Lytechinus pictus: one gene and its partners. The protein of the gene in region 1 purifies or fractionates together with the protein of each later gene. This does not show direct contact. Links are inferred from orthologs where the notes say so. Each region holds a gene or a part of one and is shown in the gene's direction. Other genes may lie near its edges.

The links.
Region 2: the proteins of DNA-directed RNA polymerase II subunit RPB7 (region 1) and transcription initiation factor IIB-like purify together in Homo sapiens (affinity purification with mass spectrometry; 3 studies listed by BioGRID and IntAct, with this or other methods). This does not show direct contact. The link is inferred for Lytechinus pictus from reciprocal best matches to the Homo sapiens genes POLR2G and GTF2B.
Region 3: the proteins of DNA-directed RNA polymerase II subunit RPB7 (region 1) and putative RNA polymerase II subunit B1 CTD phosphatase RPAP2 purify together in Homo sapiens (affinity purification with mass spectrometry; 5 studies listed by BioGRID and IntAct, counting the BioPlex papers as one, with this or other methods). This does not show direct contact. The link is inferred for Lytechinus pictus from reciprocal best matches to the Homo sapiens genes POLR2G and RPAP2.
Region 4: the proteins of DNA-directed RNA polymerase II subunit RPB7 (region 1) and mediator of RNA polymerase II transcription subunit 26-like purify together in Homo sapiens (affinity purification with mass spectrometry; 6 studies listed by BioGRID and IntAct, counting the BioPlex papers as one, with this or other methods). This does not show direct contact. The link is inferred for Lytechinus pictus from reciprocal best matches to the Homo sapiens genes POLR2G and MED26.

What each region holds. Positions count from the first base shown.
Region 1 is NC_087251.1:16,537,585-16,545,920, forward strand, and holds the start of DNA-directed RNA polymerase II subunit RPB7, read left to right. Parts: upstream 1-5,231; 5' UTR 5,232-6,014; coding exon 6,015-6,151; intron 6,152-7,093; coding exon 7,094-7,253; intron 7,254-7,811; coding exon 7,812-7,862; intron 7,863-8,336. UniProt on the Homo sapiens protein: Core component of RNA polymerase II (Pol II), a DNA-dependent RNA polymerase which synthesizes mRNA precursors and many functional non-coding RNAs using the four ribonucleoside triphosphates as substrates.
Region 2 is NC_087259.1:26,430,819-26,438,586, forward strand, and holds the start of transcription initiation factor IIB-like, read left to right. Parts: upstream 1-4,461; 5' UTR 4,462-4,529; intron 4,530-7,768. UniProt on the Homo sapiens protein: General transcription factor that plays a role in transcription initiation by RNA polymerase II (Pol II). Involved in the pre-initiation complex (PIC) formation and Pol II recruitment at promoter DNA.
Region 3 is NC_087259.1:3,805,585-3,813,625, forward strand, and holds the start of putative RNA polymerase II subunit B1 CTD phosphatase RPAP2, read left to right. Parts: upstream 1-5,041; 5' UTR 5,042-5,181; coding exon 5,182-5,234; intron 5,235-8,041.
Region 4 is NC_087255.1:33,529,907-33,537,716, reverse strand, and holds the start of mediator of RNA polymerase II transcription subunit 26-like, read left to right. Parts: upstream 1-4,461; 5' UTR 4,462-4,656; coding exon 4,657-4,719; intron 4,720-5,027; exon of another isoform or gene 5,028-5,292; intron 5,293-7,810. UniProt on the Homo sapiens protein: Component of the Mediator complex, a coactivator involved in the regulated transcription of nearly all RNA polymerase II-dependent genes.

The sequences.
Region 1 (8,336 bases):
ATTCTTCACTAAATACAGATGAAATTATTTTGTCCAAATCAGAAAGAAAATCACATTGGGCCTTTCCTTTATCTCCTGTTGGAAAATATACACTTCCTAGTATCAACTTTTCACTTTGACATTTACCTTTTATTATAATATATCTTCCGCCTTTGTCTATTAAAACTTTTTCTATCACAAAATCAACATTCGATTTAAACATGAGAATAGTTCCCCTACTGTGATTACTCCCGTGACTAAAATACATCTCCCCTTCCCAATCAGCCTTCCAACTATTTTCAATATCTTGTGTGCTAAATGTTTCCTGTAAAAATACTACATTTCCTGACCTTTTGCACCATTGAAAAATTTTCTTTCTTTTTACTTTATCTCTTAGCCCTCTTACATTGACTGTGAGTATTTTTAAATTACCCCTCATTGGTGAAGAGTTGCCACAGTGATAGGACACGAAATGGTGCATTCCCTACTTCAGAAATAAGAGCTTTTAAGTAAAGTTGAAAATAATACAAGTACAGACAGACACAGAAACTTCCAATTACACACATAGCACCCCACTCATTCACATCCACACCAGAACTGGAAAACATACCACTCAACGTATCACTCCACTTCATCCCAACAAACATAACACATACACTTCTGCAAACATACTCAAACACACGCCCATAGACTATCCTTTGCACGCACAAACACCCCAAGACACTCTCACAAACACCCCAACACACGCACACCAGCATGATTGACATATATCCTATAGACCCGCAGTTCCGCCCCCCCCCCCCCCCCCCCCCCCCCCCCCCCGTTATAGAGCAGCCATTTGTATGCTGTCCATATTAACATTATCTCCCTTGTCTACAGAAAATATCTACCTATATAACGCTGAGAAAAAAAAAATAATAATAATAAAAGAGTCCGAAAGAATAACCTGATTCTGTGTTTTAGCCCTTGTCCCATATCAAAGCTAGACTTAAAACGTTTAGACCTTCATAACATTTGGAGTGAACACATGTAAGAGTGAACCCAAATAAACCTACATAATAGGATATAACTCACTTGAAACGTATAGCATACTTAAAGATACCAGTCAAAATGAATACAGGACATCCAAGAGGGTTCTTATTGTAAAAGGTATTATCTGACTGCACCGATAAAGGATACAGTTGATACTATGTTCCAACCTGTCCAAACTATTCCTATTCTTCTACATCCTAATTGAAAAGCAAATGGCAAAAACTCTTCCGGATACACAAAAATTCCCAATAACAATAACATCGTTCCAATAAACATATACAGCAGGACTTGTATACCTGCATTGGCATATTTGTTATTCTTCTGTAAACCAATATGAATGAGATTTGGTATGAGAAGAGCTACTACCATGTGTCCTCTATTTATAATAAGCATGATAAGTGATACAATGAATGAAAGAAAAAAAAAACACCTTTCAATCAATTCAAATCAAATGACAATACCAACAACAAAGTCATGATTATCCTTAAGAATGTATACGGGAATCTTTCAGACTCGTTCTGTGATGTAGTCATACATGTTCCACCCACTAGACCCATTACATTATGAATGCATGCATGGAACAAACATTTACCCCACACAATAAACGTCATTCAAAATCGCTCTGTCCCCCAGTTCATCAGAATAAATGACAAAACTCTTCAAAGTACTTGAGATCCCATGTAAAATAGCGCCGTTCTAATCAGAACAATCAGAAACAAATGAGAGCAAATTTCTTGTCACTCGAATAGCTGGTTACTTTCAATAACATTAATGGAGCTATTCAAATTGCCTATGCTAATTTGTTTAGAGCCATTGTAACACAGATATCCTAATAATGTACTCTGCCAATTAAAGCTATACCTGCCTGAAGCAAAATCCTTCCACTCCTTCATTATTTTGTTTCATTGAATATGTAGATCAATAACCCCTAAAGAAATTTCAAAGACTCTAATTGTTGGAAGTGTCATTCCATGTGACTATTATCATTCAAAAATTCATGGGATGGGCGATAGAAAAAAGACTTAATGCATAATCACCAGCAAAAGGATCTTGCTTTCAACTCAGGGTCATACAGACGAATGAATTATCAATACAAAATTGCAAATGCACACAGAGCTATTCATCCTGTCTACCTTCATTAGCAATATTTATTCTTTTATAAACCGATTTAAGGTTATGCATTTAAATTAGACTGTGCATTGCATTACTTTTTCCCCCTTTTTTGGGCTAAAAGTGGTATAGTGAATGAGCCAAGAAACCCCTTCCTACCTTGCAAATTCAAGCTCAAAATTAATTAATTGCAAGTTAGGTAATATTTTTGTACCTTATTGTTTCAACACACCAAAGATTAGTGCATTAACTCTCTCAAAAATATGTAAAAAATTAAAGAATTTTAAAGAATGTTATTTAACATCTTTTTTGCCAGTCCCTCTCTCTCCCTCCGCCTCTCGCTTACAATAATGACGATACCAATGTACGATCGGAATGCGCTATTTTTTTTTTTTTTATCCAATTAACATCATAACTTTTGAAGGAAGATTTACCTTTTTTGTCTTCCTTTTTTTCAGACAGTTACTCCTCCTATCCGCTATACAAAGCGAAGAGATTGACATAACCAGATACATGTAGCTATAGATATTGGCATCAGACCTACAACATTTAACTAGCATTCCTGTCATTATTAGAGGCAGTCCCCGAGAGCGTATAGAGAGGGAGAGAGAGAGATAGAAAGAGATCATAAAATAAAAATGCATATTGTAAATACATACAATGTATACGCATATCCACTTATTTATAATGGATAAAAAAAGTATCTCTTCAAATCCATAGTTATTTTGCAAAGGAAATCCATACTTATTTTACAAAGTAGCTCCACAGCACTTTAATTCACTGCAGTTAAAAAAAAAAAAAAACTGCAACTTAAAATGCCATTTCCTTTTTCCTCCCTTTCTCTTGGTTTGAACTTAAAGTTTTGTTATTACTTATTCCCACAAATATAAAAGAGAAATGGTGAAAGAAAAAAAAAACAATAGAAGAGGCTTTCTTTAGTAGGCCTATATTTTTAAATATTTACTTGGTACATATAAGAAGGCCTAAGAATAGCCTGCACAAGCAATCAGAGCCACTTTAGGCTCTAATAAATATTTATTTAAAGAAAGAAAAAAAAATATATGTATACAGGTCTATGTTACTTTTACACAAAATAAAGGGTGATTATTCCATGAACGTCTTCTAGTTTCTTCATTCTAGTTTCTTCTCGTTGCATAATATCTTTGATAATAAAAAAAAAATATCAGCTCTCTAGCTTTCCACTTTTGAACATTGCGTCTCCTTTCCTTCCTTGCGTCAAAAATAAGATAAGATAAGATAAGAGTACGCAATATCTTTTCTCACACCACGCTTTAGTTATTGCTGTTATATTTTCCTGTCTTCTTTGTCCTGCATTTCTCTTCCTTTTTGTTTGAATAGGAATATTCTTCAATCATCCTCATTGCATCTTTCAGAAATAATATACAATTTTGGTTTTAGTTGACTCGCATTTTGTTGTGAAATATTCATCAAACTAAATTCTTATCACAGTTTAACAGTTTAAATGGTGTTTAGAAGGGTCTCACTTTGTGAAAACCTCTTTAACTCCGTAGTCTAGAAAATTAAATGCTTAGTGTAAGCGAATGTAAACATAACTGATACTTATCCAAGCTTTTCTCCTTGTATTCTCATAGCGCCAGTTGCTTATTCAGGGAGATTGGGCTCTGCACCAGTAGCTACCTGAAGACGTATTCCTGGGTTACCGGGATGTGTCTCTGTAGGAAGTTGCCGAATGAACACTTGTTGTCTCTCCCGTGGCACGTAAACTCGATCGATATACAATTTCCAAGGTTCGCTTCGGGAGAAATAAGCCATCTTACCTGAAGACCGGGCTGCCTTTAAGGCTGGCAATTGAGCTCTTTGACGTTCTCTTATTCGCAGTGGGAGATCCTCTGTAATAAACATGCGTGAACCTTTCAAATTCTTCGCCCTTAGAAACACAGCAGCGCGATCTTTATATCTTAAAAATCTTGCAATGATGGGGCGCGGTCTTCTGGCAGAGTTGATCCGATGGGCTCTTTGAAATTCAATCCTATCTGCAATCGCTCTATCAAATCTAAGATGCTCCACAAAAAAGTCCCGTAAAAGGTTCTCCACATCTTCCTGTTGATTACCTTCTACTATTCCGTGAAAAAGTAAATTTTCTCAATTAATGTATGTCTTGAGACTGTCAATTTCCTGGTTGACTATTTCCTTATCCTCCTCTATTTTCTGCTGAAGTTCTGAAATATTCTGTCCATTAAAAGTGACCGAATTCACAACATCGTTAAGTTTTTCTTCAAATTTCTTTATTTTGGCTCCAAAGTTAAGTTCCAAAACTTGAATTCTTTCTAGTACCTTTCCTATCTCCTCTGCTAACATATTCTTAATGGCAGGCAAGAGAGCAGGTCCTTCGGGACTAGAGCCGGTAGATGGTCGAGGGCGTTTCCCGCCTTGTTTCCCTCGATGACCGCTCGACATTTTCGTAGTTACCGATATTTTTTCAACTTCAAATATCCACGTTACATAATGGGAGAGAGGAGGCGAACCCGCGATACGTGTTACTCAAGGACGAACATGCTGATATAATTTCATGTATATACTTATAGGTAAAGTGCGCCATCTTTTGACAGATGATGATGAAAGTGGATTGAACGAGCAAGAAAATAATGCTGAGCGCCTAGAATGCAGCTAGCAGTACAAGCTGCAGACAAACGGTACAAACCGGCATAAGAATAATATCGCATGCCCTCTTTAGGCAAAAATTGATATCCATGCTGATCAGGAGGCATCTACATGAAGATCAAGCAAAAATGCTTTTTTTTAATTAAAAAAACAGCAAAGAGAATTCAACAAACGATCATATGGTTCGGTAAGTGTCATAGCACAATTAGAAATCTTAGCTATAATGGTATGTCATAGTTATTTGAGCAAAAAGGGTGTGAAAGATTCGCGTGCACCAGGTGCATATGAATCCTTCGCACGCGAGATGAATTGAACCCATGGGTGGCACGGGCCATGGCGCATGCAGCACTCGGAGTCGTACTCGCATGGCCAAATTCAAATTGAACACAAGCCATAACCTTGTTCTCTGTAACATCTCCATCAAACATTGCCAACCTTATTGTGCCACACATGGAGTGGCACAATATAAGGTTGGCAATGTTTGGCTTATTTTCTCTTTTTCTTTGGGACAAATGCTTGATTTTTTTTACACTATCAGTATCAGTTTCCATTACAGCTATTCATCATATAACTTGGCTCTTAAGTAAATTTGATTCTTTGAATATTTTTTCTTAATTAAAAATAGAGATTAAAAATGAAAATTTTCTTGCCATATTACTTTCCACTAATAGAAGGGCATGTTATACACAAAAATATGCCCAAAATTCAAGTTTTTGAGCGCTCTGGTGAATACAAAAATTATTCCCAAGTTACTAATGAAAAATATATTGCAACTGTACAAAAATTAGTATTTTGGGGCACAAAGTGATATCTTAATGATTTTTTAAAGTGTGTGCTGTATACTGCATGGGCTCCAATATAATTTTAATCCTGTTGGCCCAAAATAGTTATATTTTTAACTAATATTACACATAATGAATGAATTAAAAGTAGAGGAGCGTTTACTCACAGACTGTTATTGTCGCCATCTTGCCGTCTTAGTTATCGTAGCCTAGCTACAAGAAGCGTATAGAGGGCGACAATATCATGAGCAGTGCAAAATTAGAATTTAAAAAATACTTGTAGTTGTATCGGCCAATAAATATCATGAATCTTAGCTGAAAGATAATGCTTTGAGATGCCTCCACTCAGCAATCGATATGTCTCAAGCTGCTAAATCAAATTATCAATACTTGGTATCAAAATAAAGTTAAAAATTTCTCATGATCATCCCATTTTGAAAATGGCATAATTGTTATCAAATTAAAAGCATGAAAGATTCTGTTTTTTTTCTCCAGGTATCACTTGAACATGAAATTCTCCTTCATCCAAGATACTTTGGACCGAGCCTACTCAACACTGTCAAACAGAAGTTGTTCACTGAAGTAGAAGGGACCTGTACTGGGAAGTGAGTACACCCTCCTATTTTGAAATTTATGAATAAGCCTAAGCCACTTTCAGGATAGCACTTGTGTCAGCAATGATCCCCCTTTAAAAGTATGATGAAAAGTAAATCAGTTTATAACTTTATTAGGGAATCATTCGTTTATTGACAATGACATATTTTTCTTTTATCAATCAGTTATATATGGTTGTAAAGTTTGATGGAATATAGGAATCAATTGTATGAATGCAAATATTTACACATTGTGCAGCACTCAAACCAGGTGAGGTAAATGGGTATCGGCAGGAAGTAATTCTTCAAAAAGCTGTGTGCACCGGAATCTGTAGACTAGCGTAATATAGGAGCGCCTTGAGCACCTAGGAAGGTGGATACGTGCACGATACAAATCCTATGTATGTAGTTCCTTGTGCACGGATTATTGGGTTATTAGGGACTTATATTATCAGGACTTATATTATCACACAACAGTCAAAAACATATTCGGCTAGAGCCTGTCAGAATTTAATCATGTTTCCTACATGTTTGAATCACATGAAATATTTTGTTATTGGAAGCTTTTGTATGTTTTGTGAATTTGGATAGGTTTATACATTCTGATGGTTGATCTAAACCAAAAGATTTAAAAAAATAATTAAAAGCTCACCAAAATAGAACCTATTGAGGCAGAGTTTCACTTGTCTGAATATATAAACGTTTAGTATTGAAGAGGATCTCAGACTATGAGTAGAAATATCTGTTATGAACAATGTTTTTGAAGGAATGTAGCACACTGTTGCATGATATTCTATTCTAATGTAGGTATGGCTTCATAATTGCTGTTTAGGACCATTGATAACATTGTTGAAATGTCTAGTATTTGAGATGGTTTCTGAATCTTAATTTATGGACTTGTATGTTTTTGTAGGAATGTACCTTACTGATGACATTCTATTCTAATGTATCTAGGTATGGCTTCGTCATTGCTGTTACGACCATTGATAACATTGGTGCTGGGATGATACAACCAAGCAGGGGCTTTGTTCTCTACCCAGTCAAATACAAGGCAATAGTATTCAGACCATTCAAAGGAGAGGTAGTAGATGCTGTAGTCACACAGGTCAACAAGGTGAGAATTTGATTTTGGACAATGAGGTTACTACTGACCAAGGTTAAGATGATAGGTCACATATCAAGTGACCATGACCAACAACCAGTGTTGGTGATTTGTGATGTTGGTGATGATGTAAGTTGGTCACCTTGGAAACAACTGATAATCAGTCTCAACTGGGTGATATAGTTTAAATTTTAACTTGTGGGTGAAAGCTAATGATATGAAGGTAATATTTGTCCACATTGCCGTTTCCTGTAATAACTTTACTACCATATCTGATTACTTATGAATTCATGTACTTGCAATATGGGTATGTATTTGTGATACTAGTAAAGTCATTTCATTGAAGTGGTAGAATTTATAGATACATGTAAATTCTGGTACTGCTATAATATTAGTGATATGAATCAAGTTTTTACATTTTCTCAAGTCTTGCTGATTTAAACCCCATTCTTCCATGTGCTTGTTTTTTTTCCATGTGCTTGTTTGTTTAACCTGACTAAAGATAGAAGTATAGAAATAAATTTTACTTTGAATTTTCCTTTAATACATGTATATCTTAATTTTTCCTAGGTTGGCCTTTTCACAGAAATTGGACCTTTGTCATGTTTCATCTCAAGACATGTGAGTACTTATTTTTGTCTCACCTGCGAAGCAGAGTGAGACTATAGGCGCTGCTTTTCCGACGGCGGCTGCGGCGTCAACACCAAATCTTAACCGAAGTTTTTTAAATGACAGCATAACTTAGAAAGTGTATGGACCTAGTTCATGAAACTTGGCCATAAGGTTAATCAAGTATTACTGAACATCCTGCCGTAGTTTCAGGTCACATGACCAAGGTCAAAGGTCATTTAGGGTCAATGAACTTAGACCATGTTGGGGGAATCAACATCAAAATCTTAACCTAAGGTTAAGTTTTTGAAATGTCATCATAACTTAGAAAAGATATGGACCTAGTTCATGAAACTTAGACATAAGGTTAATCAAGTATTACTGAACATCCTGCTTGAGTTTCACGTCACATGACCAAAGTCAAAGGTCATTTAGGGTCAATGAACTTTGGCCAAATTGGGGGTATCTGTTGAATTACCATCATAA
Region 2 (7,768 bases), on another chromosome or scaffold:
CGTCAGAGGGACAGTCTTCCCCCCCCCCCTTGGTACACTAGTGGTTCCATGCTGATACAGCGTAGATCAGAGTCTAGATATAGAGACTAGACTAGAACTAAGATAAATTTTTTTAGATCTAGGACTGGTTTGTATACGGACTAGACATATTAAACCATGGCAAATAAGCTAATATTTGTCTAAACCTAATTAAACGTGAAGTTCGAAATTAACCAGTTCGAAGTTAACCATGGCATTAGTCGGCTATTCAGTGTTGTAGTCAAGGCTCAAACCTCCAAGGCCAAGGCTTCAATACCAAAGGCCAAGGCATGGAAACCCAAGGCCAAGGCCTGAAAACCTCAAGGCCAAGGCATTTCAAACTTACGATATACAGAACAATGAACTAACAATACTCGGGTGGCAGACATCACACATGGTAAAATATATGTGAGCGAGGGGACTGAGCGAGAAAAAAAATTAACCTTTGTACATTTAAAACAAATATAATTTCATGATAGAGACATATTAAAATAATGATATAGTTACCTGTGTACACATAATCCATAATTTTTTTATAGGCGATTTACATTGCAATAATTATTATTACCACGGTCATCTGATCCTGGCATTCTCAACGTATGTTTTTCTCCACTCCCTGGGACAGGGGCAGCAGAAAATTATTATGGGGGGGGGGGGGTCAACGCCAAAAAGGCACCCGTTTATCAAAATTAGTTTTTTTGTGCAAACAGATACATGTATTTTCAAAATGAGATTATGAACTGCGTGGAGTAATTGTGTGTTTTATAGAAATTAAGTTGAGCAAAGGCTTTCTAAAGTGATTTTTAATTATAAGATAGATATTTTGCTTTAGGTTTTACTTCTCAGCGAGAAAGCATAGCGAGCAAGCGGTTTTGAAAAAAAAAATCAATTCTGATGTTGTAAAACTTGATTTATGGTCAATTATGGGGCTAATCATTGTTGAAATTTCCTTGCGCGATGTTGCGAGCGCGAATCACCAGCTCAAACTTCTTGACATGTCGTGTAATAAGACATGGAAATTATTTTATTCTGAGCTGGTTTTGAAATCATGAAAAAGATGTGTATCTAACTAAAAAATAACTTTGCGCTCGCTAATTCTTTTTATATACTGACCAGTAAAGGAAGCAGTTAATTAAGCAGTTAATTACTGCATTTTAAATAAGGTACATAACTCACCAATAAAAAATAATGCGAGCGCAAAGCGCGAGCTCAAACATTTGTGATATTCCAACCTGAAAACTGGACATTCTAAGCATTTTTTTGTGAACGGGAAGAGAACGAGTACAATAATTGATGCGAGTGCAGGAAGCGAGCCAAATATTTGTGATATTTCAACCATAAAGCAACATTCTATACATTTTTGTAACCATTAGCATTTTACTGTACTAAACAATAATTGATGCAAGCACGATACAAAATCTGTGATTTTCGAACCTAAAATGTATTATGTTTTATTATTAAAGAAGGTATTTCTTTTTTTAAAAGGGCATATTTCATTTGGAAAAAAAAAATCCTACAGGGATTTTTTTTTTGGGGGGGGGGCAAGAGAGCACAAAGTGCAAGCTAAAATTTTCAAATGCTTAAACTGAAAATGAGTCATTTTTAGGACTCTTGTCAGTTTTCATATTTTTTTCTGCTTACAACCACTTTTATTAAACAGTTAATTAATCATTAATTATTAATACTTATTGATAATATTAATAATTATTAATTATTAAATTATTTTTTGTTAATTATTATTTCTTGAAACCATATTGACACAAAAACAAATACGTTGTTTATTTCCTTGAAACTGTAGAGAAATGATATTCAATGTTGAACGATATATGATTAAAAAGAAGTAAACATTTTTTCCCCTTTGTTTTGTCAATCTGACCCAAAACAAATATAAAATTTAGAAGAGAGATAGAGAGAAGAAGAAGTCCCACCACCAAGAATAAACTTAGACAAGGGGGGGGGGGGGAAGGGAAAGGAAAAGATGGAGTAAATGTGATATTATTTAAAAAAAAATCTATTGCAAAATTAGCTTTTCTTATAGAAAGAGGGGGACAAATTTTGTTCACTCGCTCGCTTCAATCGCTTTCTTCTTTTTTTTGACAGAAATTTTGCTCTATATATGCCATGCTTGGCCCCTAAAAGTTTCTGGCTCATCATGCCATTGACATAACCCATTTGGATATGACAAAATTGGAGACTGTGTTCAAGTTTACCAAATCTTTTCAGAATATCATTAAGACTTAAAACATTCTTGTTGGCCAAAGAAAATAATACAAGGAAAATCCTAATGGAATAGAAATCAACCTTGTTATCATTCTTAAGAGTTAGCTATGTTTAAAGTATGAAAATTGTTGTCAAAATTGCAGTCAGATGTAAAAATTATTCTTGTCATCAAAGCACTATTATCTTGATCATGACCATTATTATTTACTGTCACTATCATCATATGATTACAACACATTACCAATACATAATGCTATTTTTCATAACTGATGTATTCTTTGTTTGAATTTCTTGATAATGGTGACAATTACAATTGATGACACTGCTAGTACACTTACTACTGCTGCTGCTACTGTTACTGGTGATTGGTAGTATTGACCATTAGTGTTATTAAATATATATAAAAAAAAAACAATTGAAACATTTATAATTACTTATTTATAACAAATGAAAGTACAAAATACAAAATGCCTTGAAAATGCCTTAAAATTTCAAGGCTCAAAATCCTCAAGGCCAAGGCCCTCTCAAGGCCAAGGCTTTGAATAAGTAGCTAGGCATTAAGGCGCCTTAAGGCCAAGGCCGAGCATCAAGGCACTACAACACTGATTAGTACTAGGCATTAATTAGACAGGTCCAGATTTGAGGTAAAGTTAATGCGCTAGCCTAAGCTAGCCTAGACAGCTGGCAGCCGTCTGTTTCGAGGAATTTTTTAACATTTTTTTTTTTTTTTTTTTCTCCTCATACACAGACGGCTCGCTAGCGTGCAGCCACCATTAGGGGACTTGCAATGCAAAATCCCCCCGTCGGGGCTCTTCAATTTTTGTCTTTAATGAGTAAAAAATTTGAAAATTCACGCGACCAAAATGCAAATTAATATTCCCTCTTGGCATCAATTGCCAAAAAACGGAGAAAAATCAAGTTAAAAGGAACAAAAACAGTGACTTACCTCGGCTGTCGCGCAAATTCACTTCCCCGTTTTATCCGATCTTAAGTACATAAACATATGGCCATTGAGTCCCCTGTACAGATCGCGCTAGAACTTCGGTCTCTGTATTTGGTGAGTGAAGCCAACGGAGTTCAGCTGAACAACCAACATAACAGAGACCGAAGCTTTTGGTCTAAAGCTAGCCCTACCCTAGCACATGTCTTGCCATTAATGGCAGCTAGTTTATTAAGTGTTTAAGAATTGGATATATATATAGATCTAAGCCTATAAGACCTATGTAAGGGTACCGGTAATTTGACGATGCTAATTCATTCTGAGCAACGTGAATGCTTACGATCGGCACTGGTCGAGGCCAAGTCCACGCGCATGCGTACTCTCAAACTGAAGACGCAAGTCATGAATATTCATATGTTGGTCCAGAACTCGGCGGGAAAAATAATTTCGCACCCCACCCCCCCCCCCCCCCCTTCACACATGCACAGTTAACCCAGGGCCAGGCCATGGCCTATGGAGCTCCGGGTCGCAAAGCGCTTTGCGGCCTGGAGCTCCCTGGCCTGGGCCGGGTTATTCAGAGACAGAGTCAGCTGACTCACCACTCGAATGCCTTGCTCTTATTACTGTTTTTCTTGACAAAGGATTCCCAATACTCGGCAGAATTAATGTCTGATGACGATGCTGTTTCCGGCAAGAGATCCATTGTGAAAATTTTCCTCTGTCACTTAAATCAAAATATTGAAATCAAGTCAACATTTCAGCTCTCATCTGCATCTCAGACTCGTCTCAGTGTAGATCGTTCGCGCGCTTGAGTGCATGCTGCCCTCTAGCTAGTTCTACAGCAGCTGCACCTTCGGCTTCGTGTTTTGACATTTACCTATCATCCTATGCCTTTAACTATAATCCTGATCTTGTAAGTGATTCAGATTGATTTTTCTGTTGCCCAAGACTCTATTCAATCTAGGGCCCCAATCTAGGCTGCTATTTATATTAGTAATGTTAATCAAATTGAAATTAGAGTCTAATTGAAGAAGTGTATTCGTCCGTTTTTCTTTTCTGCCGTGTCAAAAGACTAGCGCTTCCGCGCACGGGGATTTAATTCCAGTGCAATTGAGTTAGTACGTCACGGAACTGTGATTTTATCGCAGGGCATGTGTGTAGAAGAATCGCATGCGCCGGTAATAGGAATGGCAGGCATCCTTTTCTGTCGCGCACTAATGCTAATATTAAAAAAAAGTAATATAGTCTCAACAATCCTTCGGCAGATAATCGTTAAAATACCCCTTCCGGTATCAGCGCTTCTCGCTAGCATAACGGGAAGAGGTCTTGACTGCAGATAAAATCAAACGAGGTGAGTTCGTTGGAGTCCCAACTAGTCTAAGACTAAGGCTAAGCCTAGGACGGCTAGGAGTAGGTAAGCAAACAGTAAAAAAATGATAGAAAAATCTGAGGTGATCGAACCGGAAGTCTCAACAATCTTACTTTTGGTGGGGGGGGGGGGGCACATAGAACTTTCCCCATAGGCACACAGTAGACGGATTCCCTGCACGCTGATTGGCTGATTGCGCGACCCTCTTCCCTTCCTCGCCCAGCGCTGTGTGTGAGAATCTTTACACCGCGCGATCGGCTGACTCACGGAGCACAACACTCTGTCTTGTAAAGATGCCAGCGTGTAGATTTCGGGCGCATGTTCGGATGATATCGGCACTTCGGCAGGCAGTGTCCGAAGTCTAAGCAAAACATGTGGTTTTCATCGGGTTACGCAAGGCCGAAGGCCGCTTGCATAAATTGTATTTGCATAGAGTACAGTGCACAGCGTATTTATAATGTACATGTATACTTGTCTGTACTGAATTCTGCGTTGCCCCCGCGATAGATGAATTTCCTGGTAGACTGCCTTATGATTAGATGCTTGGCGCAGACTTCATACATGTATATTAATGTCCTGTAAATTAACTTTGTTTTTTAATAGAATCATTTGATGTTCTAAAAGAGTGTATTTGTAGGATGTTTGAACCCTGAAAGGCAGTACATTTTATTAGAGCATATTATAAGTTGTATTTTCTGTGTGCTTACGAGAATTCATGTACTTGTGACACTTTGTCTGGAGTGTGGGAGTGCTTCTAGACTAGCATGAGTCTACCCAGTTGTATGGACAGGTTGTGTGTCCGGACGATCAATTTTAGAAAGTCATTTGGAAAATTTTACAAGCGAAGTTTCATCAATTTTTAATACAAGATATTAGGAAATATTATGGAGAACAAGATGATTACAACCATTGAATTCATACTTTTAGTGTAATGCAAAGACAAAAAAGAAGGCTTCAAAAATATAGTGTCCGGACGCCCGACCCCCCCCCCATCCTACAGCTACGAGAGTGAGAACGAATGTGACGTGATTGTGTGTTATAATTTTCATATTCTATTTGACTTAATTGTTGGTTTATAATTCAATTATTTTTCATTAACTATTTGACAATTTTCTGTTTTGCTGGACAATATCATTATAAGAGTTTGAGTATTCAATATCTTTGTATTATGCATTTTTACTCGTGCTAAGGTGTTTCATCAACTTTCAGACAGGAATCTTAGAAATCAATTTTAACAGAAAATATTTTTTTATCTAAAATTGATTTTACAGGAGATATCAAAGTGATTGTTTTCAGAAAGGTGGTTTAATCAACGATCTAAAATGGGATTATTTAAAATTCACAATAGTCATATAAAATATATTTTCTATATCAAAAAATTATTTTCATTGTCAATATATTGAGATTGATGAAACACATGTAATTACAATGACTGAAATGTTTTTAACAATATTAGAGCTAGTATTATTGTTCTACTGAACAATTCAATAAAGATATTGAGCTATTAACTTTTTGTTTATTTCGTTCATGTTCACGAAAATATTATACTTTTGCATTTTATTGGAAAATGAAATACTCTCCCTCCCCATACCCTCTGCCCAATTCCCTCAGTCCTAAACGTTGTTTACAATAAATGGTTATCATTTAATACCAATATAGGGTTTTTGGTGGTTTTTCCTCACTTCGATGTGCTGAGAAAATAGAAATTCCAAAAAAAAGGGGTAGACTCCGATCTCGCTGGTCTAATCATGGACTAATTATCTGGATGCCGATGGTAATGTAATTTTCTTACCCATTTTGAAACATGGTGCATAATAATGGAATGTTTATATTAGATGACAAGAATATATCTGACCTCTATTATATCAAAGTGCAAACAATATCTTATGTAATAGATTTCAGGCTTTAAATGTCACAGCCACGGCAATGGTGACATTTCATGAAATAATTGTGAATGTATTTATGAAGATATCGTCAGTACCTAACAATGTAAATAAGATACCGTATATGTAACCGTATGTTATCTATGGTGATTGGGAAATCTTTACCTTGGATCGGGAGGGGTACGTGATTCAACAGATTCCAATAGAAGTTCACATTCAACAATCTGACTTCAAGAAGCATATTTCTGATGGAATTGAACAATTCATCGAAAGATATATATATCAAGTTAATTGATTTGTCTGAACGTTTAGGAGCATGTATTTCGTCTGTTCACCCCTATAGATCTACACGAGTTGATACTATTTGTATTTGAATATCGTTGGAAATTTCGATGAATTGTTCAATTTCAATTGTCTTTATATATTTTATATCTGAATAACGCTTCAAAAATAGTTATCTTTACAACGGCATCGGCCTAATTTGTAAGAGTGCCTATTTATGAAATGATAGTTGGAATGTGAACGAGAACACTCGGCCCTAAAGCCGATGGCACGTGATCGTGTAGTATTGCTTGAAAATGGTGTTTCCCGAATTCCCGTCAGCGTCATTGGGTGAAATCCTCTTCTGTAACTTTAAAACTGCACTTCTATGGAAACTTACTGAATCACTCACCTCTCCCCACCCATGGTACAAGAAAACATTTCCAAAATCGCCAAAATTAAGATGTAAAGATTAATCAACCATCATCGTAATCAGCAGTGACAACATTCGCTTCGAACATCCCCCCCCAACACACACACATGATCTCAATTCTCAACATCCCCTCTTCATTTATGGACCACTTTCTCTTTTGCTCGATCGCTCTTTGCGACCATCCTACCCCCCCCCCCCTCTCGCACACTACACGCTGATGCAGAGTAGCAACAGTAGCTCCATGAGTGTGGTATGCAAAAAGAATTAGGCCTGTCGAACTATTTTCATAACATTTAGAATCGTATTTAAAAAAAAATCGTGAGGTACATGTATGCATTATGAAAACATTCGTGATCATGGGTGAACAAATGAAAGAACAATAAAAATCACTGGCGGATCCGGGGGGGGGGGGGGGGCACAGCCGGCCTGCGCGCCCCCCCCCACCATTGAGAGGCACAAGTAAAATTTGTAATTTAAAAATGGTGTTAAAACAGAAGCGTGCCCCCCCTTAGAAAGTGAAGACCAGATCCCCTTAATTATTTTTGGTTGAAACCCTTTAAAAAAAATCCTGGATCCGCCCCTGAAACAAATGAAAATACTTATAATTCATATTAAAAACGAAACAATTGGATACGAATTATAAA
Region 3 (8,041 bases), on another chromosome or scaffold:
CCAGTCCTAGATCTAAAAAAATATCTTTGTTCTAGTCTAGTCTCTAGATCTAGACTCTGATCTACGCGCTATCAGCATGGAACCACTAGTGTACCAAAGGGGGGGGGCAGACTGCCCCCCTGACGAGTCACAACTGATCCAGGGGACGTGCCCCCCCCTTGAGAAGCCAAATTAATAATTTGTAATGTCTGACAAGAGGATAGAGGATATTTCGTCCGCGAAAAAATGTGACAAGCCCCCCCCAAAAAAAAAAAGGGGTCTTCACCCCAAATTATGGATTTCTTAGCTGAAAAAAAAATTGACAAGCAAAAAAAAAAAAAAAGATCTTCACGTTCAAAAAAGGGGACATACGTCTTTTTCATTGCATTTTTACATTACAAATTATTAATTTGGCTTCTCAAAGGGGGCACGTCCCCTGAATCAGTTGTGACTCGTCAGAGGGACAGTCCCCCCCCCCTTGGTACACTAGTGGTTCCATGCTGATACAGCGTAGATCAGAGTCTAGATATAGAGACTAGACTAGAACTAAGATAATTTTTTTTTAGATCTAGGACTGGTTTTGTATACGGACTAGACATGGCAAATAAGCTAATATTTGTCTAAACCTAATTAAACGTGAAGTTCGGAATTAACCAGTTCGAAGTTAACCATGGCATTAGTCGGCTATTCAGTGTTGTAGTCAAGGCTCAAACCTCCAAGGCCAAGGCTTTAATACCCAAGGCCAAGGCTTCAATACCAAAGGCCAAGGCCAAGGCATGGAAACCCAAGGCCAAGGCCTGAAAACCTCAAGGCCAAGGCATTTCAAACTTACGATATACAGAACAATGAACTAACAATACTTAGGCGGCAGACATCACACATGGTAAAATGTATGTGAGCGAGGGGACTGAGCGAGAAAAAAAATTAACCTTTGTACATTTAAAACAAAAATAATTTTATGATAGAGACATATTAAAATAATGATATAGTTACCTGTGTACACATAATCCATAAGTTTTCTATAGGCGATTTACATTGCAATAATTATTAATACCACGGTCATCTGATCCTGGCATTCTCAACGTATGTTTTTATCCACTCCCTGGGACAGGGGCAGCAGAAAATTATTATGGGGGGGGGGGGGTCAACGTAAAAAGGCACCCATTTATCAAAATGAGTTTTTTTTTGCAAACAGATACATGTATTTTCAAAATGAGATTATGAACTGCGTGAAGTAATTGTGTGTTTTATAGAAATTAAGTTGAGCAAAGGCTTTCTAAAGTGATTTTTAATTATAAGATAGATATTTTGCTTTAGGTTTTACTTCTCAGCGAGAAAGCATAGCGAGCAAGCGGTTTTGAAAAAAAAATCAATTCTGATGTTGTAAAACTTGATTTATGGTCAATTATGGGGCTAATCATTGTTGAAATTTCCTTGCGCGAATCACCAGCTCAAACTTCTTGACATGTCGTGTAATAAGACATGGAAATTATTTTATTCTGAGCTGGTTTTGTAATCATGAAAAAGATGTGTATCTAACTAAAAAAATAACTTTGCGCTCGCTAATTCTTTTTATATACTGACCAGTAAAGGAAGCAGTTAATTAAGCAGTTAATTACTGCATTTTAAATAAGATACATAACTCACCAATAAAAAATAATGCGAGCGCAAAGCGCGAGCTCAAAAATTTGTTGTATTCCAACCTGAAAACTGGACATTCTAAGCATTTTTTTGTGAACGGGAAGAGAACGAGTACAATAATTGATGCGAGTGCAGGAAACGAGCCAAATATTTGTGATATTTCAACCATAAAGCAACATTCTGTACATTTTTGTAACCATTAGCAGTACTGTACTAAACAATAATTGATGCAAGCACGATTCAAAATCTGTGATTTTCGAACCTAAAATGTATTATGTTTTATTATTAAAGAAGGTATTTCTTTTTTAAAAAGGGCATATTTCATTTGGAAAAACAAATCCTACAGGAATTTTTTTTTTTGGGGGGGGGGGGGCAAGAGAGCACAAAGCGCAAGCTAAAATTTTCAAATGCTTAAACTGAAAATGAGTCATTTTTAGGACTCTTGTCAGTTTTCATATTTTTTTCTGCTTACAACCACTTTTATTAAACAGTTAATTAATCATTAATTATTAATACTTATTGATAATATTAATAATTATTAATTATTAAATAATTTTTTGTTAATTATTATTTCTTGAAACAAAAACAAATACGTTGTTTATTTCCTTGAAACTGTAGAGAAATGAGATTCAATGTTGAACGATATATGATTAAAAAGAAGTAAACACTTTTCCCCTTTGTTTTGTCAATCTGACCCAAAACAAATATAAAATTTAGAAGAGAGATAGAGAGAAGAAGAAGTCCCACCACCAAGAATAAACTTAGACAAGGGGGTAAAGGGAAAGGAAAAGATGGAGTAAATGTGATATTATTTTTTAAACAATCTATTGCAAAATTAGCTTTTCTTATAGAAAGAGGGGGACAAATTTTGTTCACTCGCTCGCTTCAATCGCTTTCTTCTTTTTTTTTGACAGAAATTTTGCTCTATATATGCCATGCTTGGCCCCTCAAAGTTTCTGGCTCATCATGCCATTGACATAACCCATTTGGATATGACAAAATTGGAGACTGTGTTCAAGTTTACCAAATCTTTTCAGAATATCATTAAGACTTAAAACATTCTTGTTGGCCAAAGAAAATAATACAAGGAAAATCCTAATGGAATAGAAATCAACCATGTTATCGTTCTTTAGAGTTAGCTATGTTTAAAGTATGAAAATTGTTGTCAAAATTGCAGTCAGATGTAAAAATTATTCTTGTCATCAAAGCACTATTATCTTGATCATGACCATTATCATTTACTGTCATTATCATCATATGATTACAACACATTACCAATACATAATGCTTTTTTTCATACTAGTAACTGATGTATTCTTTGTTTGAATTTCTTGATAATGGTGACAATTACAATTGATGACACTGCTAGTACACTTACTACTGCTGCTGCTACTGTTACTGGTGATTGGTAGTATTGACCATTAGTGTTATTAAATATATATAAAAAAAAACAATTGAAACATTTATAATTACTTATTTAAAACAAATGAAAGTACAAAATACAAATTGCCTTGAAAAAGCCTTGAAAATGCTTTGAAAATGCCTTAAAATTTCAAGGCTCAAAATCCTCAAGACCAAGGCCCTCTCAAGGCCAAGGCTTTGAAAAAGTAGCTAGGCATTAAGGCGCCTTAAGGCCAAGGCCGAGCATCAAGGCACTACAACACCGATTAGTACTAGGCATTAATTAGACAGGTCCAGATTTGAGGTAAAGTTAATGCGCTAGCCTAAGCTAGCCCTACCCTAGCACATGTATTGCCATTAATGGCAGCTAGTTTATTAAGTGTTTAAGAATTAGATATATATATATATATATATATATCTATATATATATATATATATATATGTATATATATATATATCTAAGCCTATAAGACCTATGTAACTATGTAAGGGTACCGGTAATTTGACGATGCTAATTCATTCTGAGCAACGTGAATGCTTACGATCGGCACTGGTCGTGGACGCGCATGCGTACTCTCAATCCAAAGACGCAAGTCATGAATATTCATATGTCGGTCCAGAACTCGGTGGGAAAAATAATTTCGCCGCCGGCCCATTCGATGACACCCAGAGATTGACGTCATTTATTTTCTGAATGAAACAAAAAAATGGGTATATGGTCCCAAAGGATAGGTCATCATGATACTGCAATCTCTATATCTCATTTTCCTGTGAGCTTCATGTTTATTCCACAAATCCCTTCTGGGATCCATTTTATTTTTCACATTGTTCTTTTTAATTATTTAAAAGATCATAGGGATGGTTGTTCTTTTCTTTCTGTAGATTATCCCATGATTATTTTCATGAATTTTTTTTTTTTTTATACTTTGAATACATGACAATCCCCTCCCCTTCCCCCATTTTACTGGATAACAATCTTGGTTCTTGTAGCACAAATCTTAGACTGAAAATTTCGCTGTTTCAGAGGAGTTTTTCAACATTTTCTGATTTTTGTCAGTCCTCCTCCTACTATTATGGAGGGAGGGGAATCAGGGGATGACGCGAAGCCAGACGAAGTCTCAGCGGAGCACATCCTGTATGACCGAAGTATATTTTTTTGGTTCCTTGTTGTAGTTCCTCTCTCTTAGCTGATCCCTCCACTATTTGGAGATTCCTAGGGTCCAAGGAAACAGATTTGTTCATGTACACTGTCATTCTGGCTTAGGAGATTTGAACCATATCAGAACGGAATACGTCAATTCTGTGGAGGAAAAAGAGAGATTAAAAAGTAGACTATTGTGTACTTCATTGGGCAAACAAGAGTGAAATGGTATAAGGGTAGCCTGAGTAAAGACCTGTGGGTTGACATTGACATAGATTGACGCATGTTGGGAAGTCCACAAGGCAGTTCTTGACTTTGCCAATAAACACTTGACGGAGATGGTCTAGGTTAGGACACTGCCCAGTAAAATGTTCCACAGTCTCGTCGGCAGATTTGCATAGAGGGCAAGTGCGACTGGTTGATTTCTTCAGCATGAAAATACGACACTGTGTTAAGTAGGTGGATGTGAGGAGTTGAGCTCTCACCACAATGCTCTTCTTTAGACGGGAGAGGGTACACTTTTCGGGTACAGGAGTTTAGCAGAAGGAGGTATACAATCTTGCCAGTACTTAAGAGATGGCTTGGAAAGGATTCCTTGACATGTGTTGTGTTTGGTCAGCAGGTTCACTCTGTAATTGACCAATCTCTTCCAAGATGAGTATACGGGAGGATTCGAAACTAGGCTGTGAAGATCAGGAAGATCGTACTTCTTTGCTATCTCCTGCAACAGCTGTATCGTAGGAGAGCATAAGTTGAGGGCTTCTGGGAATGTTCTAAACTCGAAGCGGCTGTGATCGAGGTTGACGAGTTGACCGTTGACTATCTAGACCGTGGTACATGAATACTTCGGGTTGTACCCCCTCTACTGTCTTGAACAACACAGTTTTTATATTATTAAAGATGTCAGCGCCCATGTGAAAATGTGCGCTCTTGCACTGGTGATATGTTCCGGCGAATAGAAGAACTTTGCTGTCGTATTTTACAAAGTTAGATGCCCTTATTATCTGGTATATTCGAAGATGTCAGCACTATCGGGGAAAACAACACATGTCGGAAAATCGGATGAGAAAAGGTATATCTGCTTCCATGCACTGTCAAACACTTTGGTTTTTAATGTGTGTCCCCACTTATTGATTTTTGTGTTATATGTGGTCGCCAAATCAAAATCAGCAGTTCTCGTTTACTTTTGCGCTTCTAACGTTCTATTTAAAGGTCAAGTCCACCCCAGAAAATGTTTGATTTGAATCGATAGAGAAAAATCAACGTTAATTCCACATGTTCATGGAGGAATTAATCGTTGTTTCACTTGATCTTGTTGTTGTTGTTGTTGATCTTGACAATGAGGAGAAAATCCCTAGAACATTTCATATTTTATATTATATATGTAAAATACAAAAGAAATAGTGAGTGGATGACGTCATCATCAGTCTCATCATTTGCATACTGAGCAGGATGTGCATATAACTGTTTTGTGAAATTAAGTGAAACTTAAAAATATAACTTTCTTAGTTACCCGATTTTGATGAAATTTTCAGTGTTACTGTTATGCTTGTTTGATTTTTCTCCTTTTATTCAAATCAGATTTTTGTTGGGGTGGACTTGTCCTTTAAGAAGCTCCTCCAAATTTGATGGCGACATGTTCACCATGAATTAAAAGATGGAGCTAACATGGCTAATGCAGTTTCGCACCGGTCATTGGGACAAATTTCCCCATCAGAGATTGTTTGCAAATCATCATTCATGAATCATGGACATGGCAAGTCTTGTTAACATTCGCTGACTAACATTTCGAGGTGAATGCCCACCGCTTTTCCGAATATCGCGATTGGGAACGGCTGTATTTTGCCTCGATCTCAACGCTATTGTTTGAGTTCTCAAGCTCAGACATCGCTTCACTTGACTTCGCTGTAATTTTGATATGGACTGAAGTTTAGCGACTAAAAGATTTGCCGCATTTATGGCGAAGCCAAGCCAAGCGATGTCTTACTGAGAATTTGAACGATCAAGGATGTCGAGATCGAAGCCATTCCTGGTCACAATATTCAGAAAAGTAGCGGGCATATTGATTGAGGGACTTGCTGTGACATTCACAAACAATTACTGCTGGGCATCATAACCTTGTTCATTGAATGAGTGCTGCTTGGAAAATATGCTTTGGCTGGTGCGAAACTGCATTAGTGCCAAAAGATTGGCATAGTCATGGATAAAACTCCATCTATCTCTCTCTTTTATATCTGTGATTCTGTCAACTTGTATCCTACTCCGTTTTATGGTCGGAGATCGCTGACAACCATACTGCAGGCCCCTATGCTAATGAACAAATAATATTTATTATTTATAGTCCTCTTGTGGCTGAATTCACTTCCCTACAAAATCTTGTGAATTGTGAGACTTTCCCTCTCAGAGAATTTTAACACTTCATCTACAAGTTAAATTGAATATTATTGCACCATAGGAAAGAATAAATGTTACTCTTTGGTCATTTATTTTGAATTAAATATTTTGATAAATAAGTGAATTTCAAGCCTGAAAACATGTCTTGAAATGGAATTTGAAGAGATTACCGCATGGTGAATGTGACCTTAGAGAGGCCCCAGCATGGAAACCGTTGGAATTTGGGTAGGTGCGTGGTCTCTTACTAATCATAGTGCAGTATTCTAGTTTTCAAACTGTAAAACTTGGATCTTGACCCATTTAAACACCCCTTCTAGGCCAATATCATTAAAGCTGAGATCCTCAGCTTTAACATAATCTCAACATTTTGACACAAACAGAAATATAATGTAAAAACAAAGACTTGTTGGATGAAAATGCTTATTTTGTAGCATGTTTTAGATCAAAAGTTTCACCTATATAACAAATTCTTTTTAAAAATTCAGACACAGGACCTGAAAGAAGAATGTCTCCATAATTGATACCAAAAACATGAAATTTGATCAATATTTGGAGCAGCACTGGCCGAATGAAAAGTGGTGTTTTGGTCTGCACACAGGTCATTGAATATGCAAAACCTTTCTACTCATAAATATATCAAAAGATTAAAGAATAAATGAAGCTACGGTACTTTTTGAGGACCTGCCGACTGACTATCAGATGAAATAACCGCAGACAAAATCAGACCTCGAAAGTTTGCTTAGAAGATTTTGGGAACTGTTGGGGGACTTTAACTTGCACATTTTGGAGGAATTTTTATGTAATTGATCTTAATAAAAAAAAAATGTTGCTCCTCCTACAAAACTTATGGAGTTACATGTAGGCCTACGTGTACCACAGTCAGGTGGTCCGAGATCATCAGCAATATGCTGCAGGACCAAAAGAGTATACGGTATTACAATTACACAGCAGTCAGAGGCATGCCAGAGGGGTTTTGGGAGTTAAAATTGGTGCACTGCACAAGTGGATTGGAATGATGGGCGAATGATGTAGCGAAGGGCAATCAGAGGTCTCACAGGCCTAATTCATTCCCCATAGACTCGTGTGTTAAATTGGCACTTTAAAAAATTCATAAAAAATAAGGATGAAATTCGGGGGTCAAATGTTTACTACCAGTGGATAGGATATATATCTGGCAATCCATATCTGACCAGAAAAGGGTCCCTCGACCGGCTCATTTTAAAAATAAATTGGCGTGTTTGAAGACACCGTCGGGGGGAGCAGATTCATCACCTCAAACAGCAAAAAAGCCCTAATCCTTCCGCCAGTCAAAATATAGTCCAAAATTTGTGATATTTCTTCCCAATTTGGGAAAAGGAAGTTCAGTAATTACCAAAAAAAGAATCAGTGTTAGATGGACAATCATATGCATACAATTTGTCAATCAGCCATATCAAAATTAAAAAAATAGCAATGGGTTGGCTCGAATGAATATCTCTTGCTTTC
Region 4 (7,810 bases), on another chromosome or scaffold:
CTAAGCATTTATTTTCCAACAAAACATGTTTTATTGTTCTATCACACTTCTCTGCTTTTTTTTCAGGTTCATAATACATGAAAACAGAAAGGTTGATAATTTAGTCCAGAAGTGTACAGATAGGGGGTACTTGCCCCCACCCCACCTCCTCCCCGATAATTTTCACAACCAGAAAAAAAAGAGAGAAGAGTAAAATATAATGATATTTCCTGAATTTTATGTCAAAATTTTTGGTCGCTCGCTAGCAACTGTTTAATAAATCTTGCCCAATACGCCATATATCTAGCCCCTCACATTTTTTACTGATTACGCCGCTCTTATAATTAAATATCTATTCATTGTCTGTATCTCAGGCCCGAATCTCCGTAATTTTAAACATCCTGAATTCCCAGTCAATCACGGAGCAAACCACTGATAATCTGTATACTATAGTATAGTAGTCAGATCAGTGTACTATCAATCGAAGTAGAGGGCGTTAACACTTTTTAGTTATATACTATAATAATGAACTAAATTCCGATATTACAAAAATCATTTGAATGGGATCTACTTTATTCACACTTCTGCTTTCATTTTGATGCGAAGCTATATACATGTAATTGTAATACTCTGGACAAAAATTGTCAGTTTGTTCAAGCACAAATAGATATTAAGATGTGTGTGTAATTTGATTGATTTACACCATCTAATCAACATTAAAATATTTTTTATATATTTTGAAATGTATATGAATTTGATAGATTTATTTTCTAAAAGTGTGCAATGTTTATAATGCACTGTTAGGAACAATATTGACATTTCAATGAAAATCCTTTTTTTATGAATATTATTTTCAGATCCTATTTTGTGATAAAAACATGTATGTGGATTACATGAATTCTACAAATTTTCAGAAATATTTGTTAAACTTAATTAATAAAAAAAATTATCTCATATCATTGAGGGTTGTATGAAAGAAAATAAATCTATTCTTAATAAACCTTAAGAAACCTGTGGAATTTATGATTACAGGACATGTATTCTGACCTTTCGATGCAAAATACAACTGAAAGTACATGTAAAATGTGACAGGTCACTGTCGTTTCTTCAGCACTAGGAATTAATCGCTTTATGGGTCCAAGAAATTACACACCTTCGGACCTTAATTCCCTTTCCTCAAAACTCAATACATTTCTTAGAATTGGCGTATAGAAATATTGGATCGCGCTGCAAGATGGATGAAATTAGTTTAATTTTCGCGAGCTGAAGGGTTTTTTTTAGAGAGAGATTTGATTTAATCCAAAAGCCTGATCATCATAAGCATGTAAGCACTTTGTTATCATGAACAGGATATGCGTGCCTTCATGCCAGCGAGCTGAAGGTTTTGATTATATTACCTGAAAAGGTAGTATTTTAAGGACTGTTTATAATGATTTCCAAAAGAGACCATTATGTATCTCATTAATGAAAGGGGTATCCCACCCGCGGGCTGAAAATAATTTTATCTAAATAACTATAGTAAATTTCATAAAGCAAAATACTGAAAAATTCTTCAAAATCTGATAACAATCAGAAAGTTATTGATTTTTTTAATTTTAAAATTAAACTCTAGGCCTACATTTTGTGAAAAACAGTTATGCACGTCGATGATAATGTCATGTCCCCACTTTCCTTTTTCTTATTTTCAAAGCCACATGCAGAAATTTCGAGGGGGGCAGGATGTACGTACGCGTAAAAAAAATAAGAAACTCAAAAGTGAGGGAGCGAAGCGACCAAGCTTGTCATTGAGGTGCATTTGCATTTTTAAAAGTGAAATTGAAGGATTTTATGCACACTTTTGGGGAATTTTGTGAAAAATTTTAGTGAAAAAAATGCAAGTTTTCAAAATTTCGAGGGTGGGGGGGTGGGGGGGTGGGCGCAATACCAATTCGGGGTCATTATTTTTTTAACAAAGTGGCGCGCCCTCCCCCCCCCCCACCAGTTGTGTACGGCTGTGATCATGTTTACATGCAATCACAATAATTATTTCAGATTTTCATGCATTGTGTGTATGTCTCCCAGAATGTAAAATAAGTTGTAGCGATGAATATAATGCATAGTCATAGTTACCGTATCCCTCTAAATATCTCGAAGCGCAAGCAAAAACATGTCTTACATGTATTACAACAAAATGATATCATAGGCATCATTTATTTTTCTTGGAAATAGAAGGTAATGCGAACACAAAGCGCAAGCTTATAGTGAAATCAAAATTTGTTTATTAAACCAATTCATTTTAGTTCCCCAATCACTTTATTAGATTTTCTTCTTATTTTTTTTTATTTTTCTTTCTCCTTTCTTTCTTGGTCTTCTCTTAAATTCCTACTTTTTGCGCACTGCCATGTAGGGGGCGGGTCACCTCCATGGTCATCCCCTGGAAAGTTTTCGAAGCAATTTAGAGATCATGATCAGGATGCGTATCGCGCTAATACAAAATACTGCAAACTCGAATCGCGAACAGAATAATCTGTGCATATCGACTTGAAAATGGTAACTCTTAAACCTCATGTTATCCGGGGGTATAGATGTACGGGGGTATAGATGTCCGGGGGTAGATGTCCGGGGGTAGATGCCCGGGGGTAGATGCATGTCCGGGGGTAGATGTCCGGGGGGTAAATGTCCGAGGGGTAGATATCCGGGGGCAGATGTCCGGGGGTAGATGTCCCATGCAGGGGTACTTGTTCTATATAGGGGTGGATGTCATATATAGAGGGTGGATATCCGAGGGGTGGATGTCCAGGGGGTAGATGTTCTAGAATCCATTATCATAAAAAAACTTATATCCAATCACAGGAAATGGGCAAATCACGTGCCGTGGCGGACTTGCCCCTGGGACGGATCGCCCCGCTCTCCCCTAATGTAATTGCTGTAAAAGTGCTTCAGGGTGTAAGTCTAAGAAAATTAGCTTGTGCTTCGCGTCATTATCATTTTAGTGAGATCGTGATCATGAATACTTACACAGCCTTGAGTCGATCTTTTAGGCCCTATACCTACATATTATATACAGGCATACTGACTACTGTACCCCAACAAATTCCAGGCCCGCGCTTCGCTCCGCGTTGTAGATCAGCGAGTGAGATAAGCGGACTCATGCAGTGGCGTACCGTAGGTCACGGCATAGGGGGGGGGGCACCTACAAACATTTTGAGTCACTTAATTAGTGAGGGCGCGAAGCGCGCTCAATTGCCAGCCTTCCAGGCCTTCAGTACAGAATTAAGGCTGCACATTCAGACCCTAACTCGAGTGAAGGGTTTGCCCAGCAGACTAGGGGGCACGTGCCCCCCCCCCCGTAGTTACACCACTGCGCGGACCTTCACTAGAACAGTACAGTCATGCTTGTAATAAAAGCTTATTGGCTATATAAGCCTATAGGTCTATGAAAAATATTATAGCTCGATTGCATCAAAATAATATTTAGGCCTAATACAACAGGAATATACCCCCAAAAATCTGATAAGGCAATCTGCAGTCTTCCGGGCTATATTTATTGGTAAATCACTGAATTCTCTATCCTTAGAACATATTTTCCAAATTAAAGGTCAAGTCCACCTCAGAAAAATGTTGATTTAAATCAATAGAGAAGATCAGACAAGCATAATGCTGAAAATTTCATCAAAATCGAATGTAAACTAATTAAGAAAGTAATGATATTTTAAAGATTCGCTTATTTTTCACAAAACAGTGATTTGCACAATTCAGTGGCATCCGAAGGAGACAGTTGATGATGTCCTTCACTCACTATTTCTTTTGTTTTTCGTTGTTTGAATTATACAATATTTCATTTTTACATATTTGACAATAAGGACCCATTACTTGACTGAACCATATAGTATTAATAGGTAATGCTAAATTCGACAGGATCAGGGAGGAATTAATTGTTGTTCACTTGCATGACAATGAGGAGAAAATTAGAATATTTCATATTTCATCATAAATACAAAAGAAATAGTGAGTGGATGAAGTTATCAGTCTCATCATTTGCATACCGACCACGGTGTGCATATAATTGTTTTGTGAAATTAAGCAAGAGGTCATAACTTTCTTAATTTACAACCGAATTCGATGAAATTATGCTTGAATTTTTCTCTTTTAATTCGAATCATCTTTTGTTGGGTGGACTTTTCCTTTAAGTATTTTGGTTTCAAAATGATTAAAAATACGCTTCCGTCATCCGCAAGTAAAGTTTAAATAGGGTTTTTGAAAACTCACTTTAAAGTAAGGGTATCTACCCGAGGGTATACTTCATTTTATTCGGATTGTATTACTCGAGTTACAAGAAATCTTCCCCAATTATTATGACAAAATTGCCCCATTTCACCGCGGTCTCCCTATAAATAAATCGCTCTCATTTCTTTAAAACAACCCAACGGATTGTCAACGAATGGGCATTGTTGTTCATGCTTGACTGTGTTCGTTTGTATTTTTATAACTTGGGATTTTTTCATAATTTTACATTTTGTTTCTCCTGTGAAATTCAGTGTGTGGCGCCTAAATGTGACGTCATATCGCAAGTTCCTGCCGCGATTTCCCATAAATCACCGCGCTGATATGTGAAAGAAATATCCGCGATGTCTGGATACTGCCTTTCGAGCAGGAATACGGCACTAGGGCTCCGTTTGGCTGCTTAGAAATGGTCTAATGCCGCCAACCCCGAGTCAGATAAAGGAGCTGCTGCTCAGTGCAATCGACAAAGATGAAAATGTAAGCATTCACTTTTCTTATTTTTATGAGGATTCCTCACATTTTGACTTAATTCGACAGTCTTTCATCCACTGATGATTGCAATGATATTCCGCCATAGCCAGCCGCGTGCTAAAGACGATCATTTTTTTGGAATAAATGTCGCAGATTTCGGCGAGAATTCGTCGCAAGTATTGCCTGTCAAAAGACGTCGCCATATTCAGATTGAAGCTTGACTTCTGTAGACAAAACTGGTATATATTCCAAGTCGACTTACGGCAGATTTTAGGTCGAATTTAGCGTCAATTTGAATGTTGTCACGATTTTTTAGAACGGCGAAGGTCCATGTACACGGTAAGCTCGCCTGCCGCAGAATGAATTGTTGACCCATTCGGGGCCTATGAGAGGTCTCGCCGAGCGCATGCGCAAGGCTAATGGGATCCCACGTCGGTGAATCCACTCAATAGAATTTTTCATAATGCAGCAGGAGAGTCAAACAACGCTGCTCGGGCGCCCAGCCACAGCGGCTTGATCAGTCGGAAATGAACCGCAGGTTTGGCAGTGTGGCACTCCGCTCCTTCGCTCTTTCAGCTGGTGTGTATTTGAACACATGAACATGTATATATGTATGGTCATGCCCATTGCATGACTGGAAGTGGTATCACATTCATGCCTGCAGTCTGGCTTTGCCTTTCCTTTGCCATTGGCTTGGCTTTTGCCATCAATTAGTCAAGACTAACTTTATGACTATGTTCTATCAATATTTTATTAAAAAGATAACTTTTTTACAAGTAAATTTACCTTTGCTTTGAAAGTTTTTGGGAAGAAAGGAGAGAGTGTGAAGAGATTCCAAGACCAAGTTAAATACAAGTCAATGATTATTTATAATAGGGTCTATAAGACTCTAGAACTCTACTGAGTTGTTTCAGATCTAGACAAATAAAAATGTCAATCTAAATATAGTCTAGAGATCAGCTTGCTAGAGATCGTGTACATTTATTTTGATGTTAGTGGATGGTGGAAGTGGAACACTGTTCTACTTCTAAACTAAAGTCTTCAAAGGGTTCCTCCTTTGTGGGTCTAAAGAGATAAATCGTAACGTCTGCTGCCTTCTACATGTACCTAGAAAGGATTCGTGCCAATTTGATGAATACTAGATCTGATTATATACATGTATGTTGGCCATTTCATGAAATATTCCAGAATCCAGTTACTGCAAGAAAGTGTGGAAGATATATTCCTGGCCATAAGTTAAAAAAAAGAGAGAATCAAAGAAAGAGCTCATGCAATTGTTTTTTAATGCCTAGAAACTGCCCTAGTAAACTGGTCAAATAGATGCTCAGATAGGATTCATAGGAATTTGACACTTTTTTTAAATTCTAGGATTTTTCTTAGATTTAGTTCAAACAACATTATCTGGAGGTGATTCATTTATTTCAGCCTCGGGGGTTTTATTAGAAATATGGAATGAAAACAGAGAGGGATAGAAGGACAATGCAAGTAGTAATGCACAACGAGTATAACATTAACAAAATCACGATAAAATATACAAGTAAAGCATGAGATGGATAAAGAAGGCAAATTTTGTAAGATCAAAGGTAAAGCATATGTCGGATAAAACAACTATATTTTGTGATCAAAATGAAATCATTCACACCCCAAATATGAGATTGATAAAACTTAATTGCATATTGCAGTTTGGATTTGTCCCAAAATTGTTGCATTTCCAGATTTACCACTCATCCTAAATCAACCAGTTTTATAGTGTGGATTCAGACACCCTTATTTCTACTTTTATATCAGTTTCATCAAAACATAGATTTTGATGAGAGATGCAAAACTAGACTTACAAAGTTTAAAGGGGAAGTCTACCCCAACAAAGTGCTGATACAGGGGGGGGGGGGGATAAACAAAATTGATTACCGGTAACACTGCTGAACATTTCTTCAAAACCAGATGTGAATTTTCATTACTATTTATTTAGAATTTCTATAGAAAAAATATTGCTTTGATAATGAATCAAGAAGCAGGGCTTGACATTGACTTTAAATTTTGGTAGCCAACTGGCGGATCAAAAAATGATTTGGTGGACTCAAACACACAATTTAAGTGTGGTCCACAAAATGAAATGAAATTTAGCTTACAGATGGTATTTTTATTGCTTTTCCTCATGCATCAGCCCAATACCTACACATGTATGTTGATGAAAGGGAAGATCGTTTTACACACAAGAAAAAAGTCTCCTAGATGCATCACTGGTGTGTTTGGAAGTTGTGTCATACTGTCATTTATATTTTCAAGAGTAAGCTCTAGATATTTCTTGAAGGTACCTGTATATCAAATCAATTGTATGTTGCTAGAACTTACATGTAAGGTGGTTGTTCATACATGTAATTTGATTTTTGTTCATTTTCATTGTCTCGCCTGCATAGCATAGTGAGATTGTAGGCGCCGCTTCTCTGTCGACGGCTGCGTTATCAACATTGAATTTTTAAACAAGGTTAATTTTTTGAAATCTCATGAAATTTATTGTTTTATAAAACTTGGACATGAGGGTAATCAAGTATCACTGATCATTTTGCGTGTGTTTCAGGTCGCATTTATAACCAAGGTCATTTAGGATCAATGAACTTTGACTATGTTTGGGCCTTTGTAGTATCAACATTGAAATCTTAACCAAGGTTGAGATTTTGAAATGCCATTATACATGTAACTTCAAAAGTATATTATTAGATTGAGAGATTTGTGGTAACATCATGTAGGTTAGTCTTGAAAAGGATTGTTGGTTTGTCTTTCTAATAATATAGCTCTGAAATTTTTTTTATTTTCAATGTTTCAAGCACATAGGCTTTGCTCTTCATCAGAGCAAGCTTAGTCACATAAACACAGAAAATGTTGGTGGGTTGAATTGATTCAACAAACATCCACCCGCCCCCCCCCCGACATTTTTAGGGTTAAAAGTATATTATGGACTTGTGTCATGGGGACATAAGGGTAGTTAAGTATTACTGATTGTTTTGAATGCAATGACACAAATTTCATGGCAATATAGGGGCAAGTTGCCCATATGGATTGTGATTGTAGGTTTTGCAATAGAGTACCGTAGTGTGAC